2 linked regions of the Canis lupus familiaris genome follow. The protein of the gene in region 2 purifies or fractionates together with the protein of the main gene of each other region. This does not show direct contact. Links are inferred from orthologs where the notes say so. Each region holds a gene or a part of one and is shown on either strand. Other genes may lie near its edges. The genes, in order: DUSP6 and MAPK3.

Evidence for each region.
Region 1: the proteins of MAPK3 (region 2) and DUSP6 purify together in Homo sapiens (affinity purification with mass spectrometry; 7 studies listed by BioGRID and IntAct, with this or other methods). This does not show direct contact. The link is inferred for Canis lupus familiaris from reciprocal best matches to the Homo sapiens genes MAPK3 and DUSP6.

What each region holds. Positions count from the first base shown.
Region 1 is NC_049236.1:30,629,787-30,634,172, forward strand, and holds the start of DUSP6 (dual specificity protein phosphatase 6), read right to left. Parts: upstream 2,911-4,386; 5' UTR 2,375-2,910; coding exon 1,975-2,374; intron 1,398-1,974; coding exon 960-1,397; intron 1-959. UniProt on the Homo sapiens protein: Dual specificity protein phosphatase, which mediates dephosphorylation and inactivation of MAP kinases. Has a specificity for the ERK family. Plays an important role in alleviating chronic postoperative pain.
Region 2 is NC_049227.1:18,278,611-18,283,170, forward strand, and holds the start of MAPK3 (mitogen-activated protein kinase 3), read right to left. Parts: upstream 2,993-4,560; 5' UTR 2,979-2,992; coding exon 2,806-2,978; intron 1,792-2,805; coding exon 1,609-1,791; intron 1-1,608.

The sequences.
Region 1 (4,386 bases), on a different chromosome or scaffold from region 2:
AGAAAGAAGAAAGACTCGTGTGTGGCAGTTGAGCCCCGCAGGCAGCAGCAAATGTATCATTGCGATAAAACATGTACACTGGGCACAATTACATATTTCAGATATTTTCTGAAAAGGCAGCTTTTGTATTAAGTTTCTGCCAACAAAAAAATCCTTAATGTGTGCATTCTTTGCCTCAGCATGTGAATACCAGAAACCCTGCAATATGGTCTTGAATGCCTTTTATACAGACAAGCAGACTGCAAGGGTCTATTAAATTATTCTCCAACTGTTGTGCAGCTAACAATGGAGGTATTCAGGCATTTTAAAAGAGAGAGGGAAGTCACAGGGGACAGCCCATTAGGAGGAACAGGATGTCGACATGGCCTGAAAATGAGTTCCTTTGTAATAGGAAATGCATTACAATGCCTGGAGATTCGCTTCTCCAGGCTTCCAGCCCACAGTCCTTCCTGCTGGGCTCAGGTTACCACTGTCTCACTGTTAACCGGTATCACAGTAACATTCAACTGGATTACAACATCCAGCATTCAGAGGGGTTTCCAACAACTAACCCGCTATCCTACTGTAACTCCCGGGGCTTTTAAAATTATAAAGCGATGCTAAAATGCCTGTCCGTAGGGAGTACTCTCATCTCTCATCTAGCCTTCCCCAAGTCCAAAGACTGTGAGAAAATTCTCTTGCCCGATTATGCACAGGCTGCTTTCAAATGAGTGAATGCAAAGACTCGAGAAACGCCGTTTCGAATACACCTGTGGTTTGCAGCCAAGTCGAAAGGCACTTTTCGTCCTCTTGGCGAGAAGATGAACCAGAATTAAGAACCCACCCCCACCCCCGTAACATTAGAGACCTGCAGTCGGCCGGGCTAGCCAGCGGCAAGAAAGATTAACAGCTTAGGTTCGATGAATGGCTGGGAATTTTGCATTTAAAAGTCTTGAGGAAGGACGGTTCATTAGTCTCACCTATGAAAGAAATGGCCTCGGGGAAAAACTGGGACAGGTTTTGACTCCAGTGATCCGAGATGGGGATCTGCTTGTATTTGAACTCTCCTGCGTTCTCAAAGAGATTCGGCAAATTGGGGGTGACGTTCAAGATGTATTTGATGCCGAACTCCTCCAACACGTCCAGGTTGGTGGAGTCCTTGGCACAGCCCAAGTAGAGGAAGGGCAAGATCTCCACGGGGAAAGAAGGCTGGCTGTTGGAGAGCGGGCTGCCATCCGAGTCCGTCGCGCTATTGGGGTCTCGGTCAAGGTCAGACTCAATATCCGAGGAGGAGTCGGAGCTGATCCGCAGGCCCCCGAGGCCCAGCACTGGCAACGGTGGCGAGCTGCTGCTACACGAGCCGTCCAGGTTGGTCTCGCAGTGCAGGGCGAACTCGGCTTGGAACTTACTGAAGCCACCTGCCAGGGCGAGAAGAGCAACCGTGTAACCTGAGATCCCGTAGTAGTTTTCACAGCTTGCGAGAGCCGCAGCCGGGCGGGCGCGGGCCACCCCACAGCAGCCTCCGAAACCCCCTCCACCCCGAGCCAACTGCAGGAGAGAGAGACACTTAAAAAAAACGTGCACCTTGGGGAGTGGAACGAACAGGCCCGCCTTCCCTGGAAACCCTTCTGCTTTCCAATCCGGAAATGCACAAAATGGCAACTTTTCTAAAATTTTTTTTTTGAGGGGCGAGGAGGTGCAAATCTGCAGCCCAGCCCCCCCTCCTCCTTCCCCCGGCCCGTCCCGTCCCGTCCCCCTTGCCCAGGGGCCTCTGCTGTCTTGCAAATCGTAGTTCAAAATCGAACGGTAGGAAGCAGGCACAGGTGGAGGCAGGGGAACTCGTTAGAAAGAAACCACGCGTGTCCGCGGCCGGAAGCGGGTGGATCCTGCGCCAGGCTGCTCGTGGGCGCAGCGGGCCTCACTTGCACCCCACAACCCCGGGCCTCCCCCATCACCCTCCCCCGCGCCCGGGGGGCTCCCCCGGCGCCTGCCTACCTTCCAGGTAGAAGGCCCGGCAGCCCTCGTCCTTGAGCTTCTTGAGCAGCAACCCAAGCACGGACTCGCCGCCGGTGTTCTCGTTCCAGTCGCTGCTGCTCTCGTCGTAGAGCACGACCGTGTCGGTGCCGCAGCGCCGCGTGAAGCGGTCGCGGTCCTCGCCGCGCGTGAAGAGCGCGCGCACGGGCAGGTTGCCCTTCTGCAGGCGCCGCAGCATGATGCCCGGGATGGCCACGTTGATGGCCGACTCGATGTGCGACGACTCGTACAGCTCCTGCGGCCGGCAGTCCATCAGCAGCAGCCGCTCGTTGCCCAGCTCCAGCTGCTCGTTGAGCCACGCCACGGTCTTGCTGATCGCCATTTCCGACGCGAAGGGCACGGGTCTGAGCGTATCTATCATGGGGGTCGAGCTGCCGGGGAGGGCGGGTGCCTACCAGACGGCCCTCGGGGCAGGCATAGGCCGGGCGCGCCGCGCGGAGCCGCCGCTCGCCGAGCAGCGGGGCGCTACCTCCACCTGGCCCTCCCCGCACCCGGGGCAGCGGCCGGGGCACGCGGGGCACGCGGGGCACGCGGGGCCGCGGCTCCCTCCGCACCCAGCTGCAGCCGCTCGCTCTCGGGGTCAATGAATCTCTTTGAATGAAGCTGCCCAGACAGTTTTGTTCCTCCCCAGTGAATGAAATCCAATTAATTCGGACTCCCTGCTACTAAGAGGGGAGGGAAGGGAAGGAAAAAAAAAAAAAGAAAGAAAGAAAGAAAGAAAGTCCAGCGGCTCCTAATCCCTCCCTTCAAGGCTGCACCTCAAATCCGCCCGGGCGCCTCTCTCCTCGAATTATTCAAACCTCGATTTGCTCACTGGCCCCTGGACTCAGCCCTCGCACACCCCCTGCGCGAGGCAGCTCCTCAATGGATACAAACAGCGAGCGTCTCAATGGATACATTCTCCCGGCCAGCCAATGAGCGCGCTGCGGAAGGGGCTGTTGCCGTGGGGACGGGCCGGCTGGAACAGGTTGTGTTGATGAATTGTTAATGAGTTTGTCATTCACAAAAACGGAAAGGAATTTCCGCTCCGGATAAGCCCCAGTGCAAACAAGCTGCAACAGCGGGCTCGGCGGGAGGAAGGAGAGAGAGGAGGAGGCGGCGGCGGAGGAGGAGCAGGGCACATAAACCGGGGCACTCCGGTTGTCTCATGTTTCCTTCTGTTGAGAGTTCACACTTCGCGTCGGAACTTTTGCGCACAAACGGTGCAATTAGCAGGCACAAAAGCCCTTGTTCGTGACGCCTGGGCTTGCAAGGCTAGCTTTAAGAAAACTTGTGCTTCCCCCCCCGCTCCTTTTTTTTTTTTTTTTTTTAATTCCCTTTAAACTCATTTGGACCGGAGTTCGCCTGGACCCCCCTCCTCCCCCCTCTCGGCGGTGTGTGGCATTTGTTTGCCCGTTTAAAAAGCCCAGCTCTGTTTGCTCTGATGTTCTTTTAGCCGAGGCTGTGTTGGGGCTGGTGAACTGCCTGGGCTTTAGTGACCGATGAGGTGTTAAATGCTAATCCAACATCTTTTCGAAACAGACTAGGATTTTTGTCGACGCTTTTTAAGGCAAGCAAACAAACAAATGCCTGGCTGTCCAGATGATAGGGAGAAAGGGTTTTGTCTTAAATTGCATTTAAATTAACTTTATTTTGCTTTTAAACAGTGGAGCCTGCAGAAACAAACTGGTTGGCCAGTCCGATGTTTTTATTCCTCTCCAGTGGCCTGGGGCGCTATGAGCCATCATTGTTCCGGGGATCCAAGCCCCCCCCCCGCGCCCCGCCCGCCCCCGCCGCCTTCCCGCGGTCACCCACCGCGCGCCGGGGAGCTGCGCTCGTTAATCATTTCTGGGCAGCAAGCTCGGCTTCCGACAGAGGAGCCGGGCTGGCGGGGCTGCCTGGGCTCGGTGCATGTAGGGCGCGCGGGCCCCCCGCAAGGCCGGGGGGGCCCGTCGGAGGGGAGCCTTCCGTCCCACCCAGGCGCCCCCCCCACCCCCGCCCCCCGCCCCGGGGCGCCGGGCACTTTGCGCAGCACCGGGCGCGCCTGCGCGTTGCGCTCCCGCCCAGCACCCCGCCCCCCACCCCCACCCCGGGGTGCGCGGCGCTGGGCGGCCCCGCGGAGGGGTCCGGGGTCCGGGGTCCGGTCACGGCCTGGGGTGGGCGAGGGGCGAGGCGGGGCGCCTGCCGAGACCTCCCCCGGCCCCCCGGGCTCGCCAGGAGGGCTGGGCGCCGCGGGGAGCAGCAGGGGAGCAGCAGGTACCCGGGAAGCGCCGGGCGGGCCGGGCACCGGATGGAGGCGGGGCGGGCGGGGGCCGCGGCGTGGGGGGGGGGGGCGCATTCCCGGCGCGCGGGGCCCTATTGTTAGAGAAAAGCGCCGGGCCGGCCCCTCCCGAG
Region 2 (4,560 bases):
GAAAAGCAGGGATGATAAACTGCAGGAAGCAGGAAAGCTTCACGGTTAAGAGCAACCACTCTGGACTTGTTTTGCTGGTGGCCAAACCCCCACTCCACTGCTCATTGGCCTCATGACCTCAACCCATCTGCACCTCCATTTCCTCATGTGGAAAGCAGGGGAGAGAGAGTGGCTCTTTGGAAAGCAGTTATGAAGACTCAGTGAGGTGACCCATGGAAACCAGCCGGCCCAGTCCAGAGCCTAGCATGTTGTAAGTGCTCAGCAAACATGAACTAGTGTTGCTATGATAAATGCCTAAGCCACATGGCTGTTGAGAGGGTTAAATGAGATAGTGTGAACACCATCTGGCATGCAATAAATGTTTGCTTAAAAATAAATGCCTGCCTTATGGGGAATGGTTTGGGCAAGACAAATGAGGAGAAACTCCCAACAGCATGCTCCTCCTCAAAGAGTGCCTGGCCATACATCAGAAGATGGAAGAGTAAATGTCCTTTGGTATTTTAAGAGAAAACAAAGATTAAACATACGTTAAGTAAATAAATAAATAAATAAATAAATGCCATTTGGTTGCTCTCTGAAAGAATAAGTCAGGGCTGTCTTTTAGAATCAGCCTTGAAAGAGCCTTCTGAAGACACCTGGGCCGATTATGCTGTTTGAGAGGTGAGGAGGCCCAGCAAGATGCAGTGACTTGCTTAAGGTCACACAGCAAGCTAGTGGCGAGTGTGGAGATTTCCTGCCCACAGCTTGTGGTGGGGGCTGCAGACAGTGCAGCACAAATCCCCACATTTGGGTGGAGAACTGGGACTGGCTGGGGGTGGGTAGGGTGGGGAGAGGTGATGGGTGCTATAAGCTGCTAACAACAGGGCCTGACAGGAAGTGGACGACAAGCTAGGGAAGCAATGTGGGGGGGGGAGGGCAACAAAGACAAGGCTGTCCCTCCCTGGGCGAAGTGCAAGTCCACAGGTGACTGGGGTGAGGCTCTGAGCAGGAAATGTCAGAGAAAGGACAGTTCTCATCTGGGGGAGGTTAGGAGGCAGCAACAGCAGCACCTGATTTGGGGCTTTCTGAGCCTCAGTTTTCTCATCTTTGAAATGGAGCTGATGAGACCCATCTCATACAGCAGCTGGGAGGTAGAATAAGAAGTGTCAAAGCATTTGGCGTGCACTGCACCTCACTCATAGTAGGCCCTTCAGAACGGGCAGTTTTCTTCCTTCCTGCCTTCCTTCCAGTCTGCAGACCCAGAGAGGAAAGAATCATCATCTGTTAAACAAGAACTGTCTGTGGGCAGAGGCTGGGTCACGTCACAGAAATGCAGATGTCAAAAGACAAAGCTCCCATAGAGCCCAACTCTCACCCTCCCCCCAAATGAGGCACAGCATGGAGCACAGACTTGCCCAAGGCCACACAGCCTGGTTACAGCAGGCCAGGATTCACCTCAGGCCTCCCAGTCCTCTTACACTCTGTGGTCTCTTTTCTGCTGGAAAGTTTCATTTGCTGGGTTTGTTTTGGAGTGTGGCAGGAAAGAAGGAAACAGAAAGAAAGCCAACGTTCTCCCAGCCCGGCTCTGAGGCTATGCCTAGCCAGCCATCTGGCCAAGGTGAAGGATACACATCCCTCATGGCGTCCAGGGTGGGCGCCCGCAGAATGTCCCGAATGCCAATGACGTTCTCATGGCGGAAGCGCAGCAAGATCTGGATCTCCCTCAGTGTGCGCTGGCAGTAGGTCTGATGCTCAAAGGGGCTGATTTTCTTGATGGCCACGCGAACCTTGCGCACGTGGTCGTAAGCTGAGCTGAGAGGGTCAGAGAGATGTTGTTGGTGTGGCCTTACATAGGGGGAGTCCAGGCCTGGTGGCCCTACCCAGGCCTGAGCAGGGAGGGGAGGGAGCATGAGAGGACTCTGGCCAAGTCATAAACAATGCTGGTTCCTTCCTGCTGTGAAGGCCTGGGATCTCCAGGGAGAAAGCTGGGGACCAGCCAGGCAGCCCTTCGGTGACTTCACAAACAGAGGAAGAGACTGACCGTTCACTGACTTCCCCTCTCCTCAGCCCTGTCCATTCTAGTTGCCCTGACCTCTCATCCTCCCCTCTCCAGGCTGGGCTCCTTCAACCCAAGACAGGTCCAGGGAGTGGGAGGTGAGTGCAGGACGCACAGTGAGGCACAGTGAGAAGGAGGCGGTCAGGAGGGATGGGAAAGAAGGGATGAGGTGTTAGGGTCAGGCACCTGGGCAGGAGAGCTGTTCCCAGATGAACAAAGGCCCAGAGCACACAGTGGGGACGAGAGAGCTAACAGACCCCTTCTAAAAGTTGCAAGAACGCACCCCTGGACCCCTCATGGGTCACCGGGCTCCTGGCCCCAGGCCCAAAGCCCTGCCCCACCCTGCCCAGCCCTGAGCTCTGCTCTCCCCAGCTCCTTGGCAGGCCTCACTGGGAGAATCCAAGGCATCCTTTCCCCAGAGTAGGGTCCTTCACTCGGTCCTCACTGATATCACCTCCCCAAGAATACTTCGTGTCTCCGCCTCCTCCCGCGTCCACAGAGTCCCCAGGGTCCCCCCACGGCTCCCCCGCGGACACTCCGATGCCCCTCCCTTCACTACAGAATGGTCGCTCCTGAGGCCTCCCAAGCCCCCTCCCCTTAGAACGTAGGCGGCGCCGCTCCCCCAGAGCACCCCAGGGCCGCGCCGTGGGACGCCCCGCCGGCCTCGTGAAGCCCCCGCCTCCTCGGGACCCTGGGAGCGCCCCGGCCCGAGGGCACTCACCCTCGCGCGCGCCCCCCCACGAGCCCCCTCCTCCGGAACGCCCCCTCACCTGACCATGCCGTACGCGCCCTCGCCGATGTAGTGCAGCTCCGTGTAGCGCGGGCCCACGTCGAACGGCTGCCCCTTCACCACCTCCACCTCCCCCGAGACCCCCGGGCCGACCCCATCGGCTCCCCGGGGCTCCCCGCCCCCGCCCCCCTGAGCCGCCGCCGCCGCCGCCATCTCCACTCCTCCCCTCCCGCCTCCCCGCCTCCCCCCGGCGGCCCCGCCCGAGGCCCCGCCCCTTCCCGCCCGCCCCGCGCCCCGCGCCCCGCGCCCCGCCGCCGGCTGAGCCGCGTGCGCCAGGCCCCGCCCCCGCGCGCCCCCGCGCGCCCCCGCGCGCCCCACGTGACCCCCGCGCGCTCCCGGGCGCCCTCGGCTGCTGCCCGGGTCCCCGGTGCCCGGCCGCTCCGTCTGCTGCTGGCAGCCCGTAGGGACGAGCGCGGCGGCCGGGAGACGGTGCACCCCTCCCGCCGAATGCAGGCTATAGCCGGCAGGGCCGCCAGGTGACCTTCCCGGAGCCACCCAGCAAGCGGGTGCGGGAGCTGGGGCCGGGACCGAGTCGCCTGGCCCCGCCAGCTCTGCTGCCAACCGAGTCGCGGCCCGGGGCTCGAGATGGAGCCCCAAGGGGGCCCTCCCCAGCCCTCTGGAGTGTGGCCTCCGAGCGAGGCTCGGCCCGACGACACACGGCCGCATCCGCATTTCCCAGTAGCGTGGGAGATGGCTTCTTCGCAGATACGGCCTGCCTTTCACAGATGAGGGGCCGAGGCTGGTGACTTGGAGCCACCGAGAACCCGCAGGTCCAGACTCAGCCTAATGGGTTTCTGACAGGCCTGCGAGAGTGGACTAGGGGCTTGGCCTCTTGCCAGCGACAGTACAGTGCTGGAAGTGAGCACCCATAACCTCAGCCCATTTAGGTGGAACTGCAACAGAAGGGCGGGAAAGCTGCCTGCAGTGTTGACCAGGTTTGGTTAAAATACACTATCAGGCTTCTCTCAAAAAACAGCAAAATAGGTGACGATTTTGTTGTCATTGGACTTGGTGAAACTGGAATCCTGGCAGGATCACCATCTTTTGATGGGATGCAAGATTTTGTAGTTTACACCATACTTGGACCAGCTGGGTTTCTTCCATAGGACAACCGCACATTATAGGTGTCCTCCGATTTTCTTAACAGGATGAGCAGGGGCCATGTCTGTCTTGCTCATTACTGTATCCTCCCCTGTACCTGACGCTCAGACGTTCAAAGATTTTTGACTGGATAAATCAAATTGTATGGATGGGGAGTTGAGACTTAAAATGATATCTTTTGACACAGAGGCAGAGGCTCTTTTCAATTCCATTCAATCTCCCAGAATCAGAGCCTGTTAAAACCCAGGAAAGGGCCCTCCGAGGCCATCCAGTCCATTCCCCTCACTTCACAGAGAAGCTGTGAGCTGGACGCTTCACAAAACACATCTCCTAGCCTTCAGTAAGTAACCACGTTGGGTTTTGTTTGTTTGTTTGTTTTATAATCCCTTAGAAGCTAAGAGTAGATCCTTATGTGCATTACAGATCAAGAGACCAAATGGAACAGTAATTATGATTCTGAAATTGCTCATAATTAGATCTACAGCCAGGCACTCTAATTCAGATTAATGAGACTGAGTAGCTGGTTCCCAATAGCCTACAAGTCAGTGAAGGTTTAAGAGATGCTAATTAGATCAATGTTTCAGGGTAGGTTTGTTTGTTTGTTTTGTTTTTAATTATTCATTTGATAAGCAAT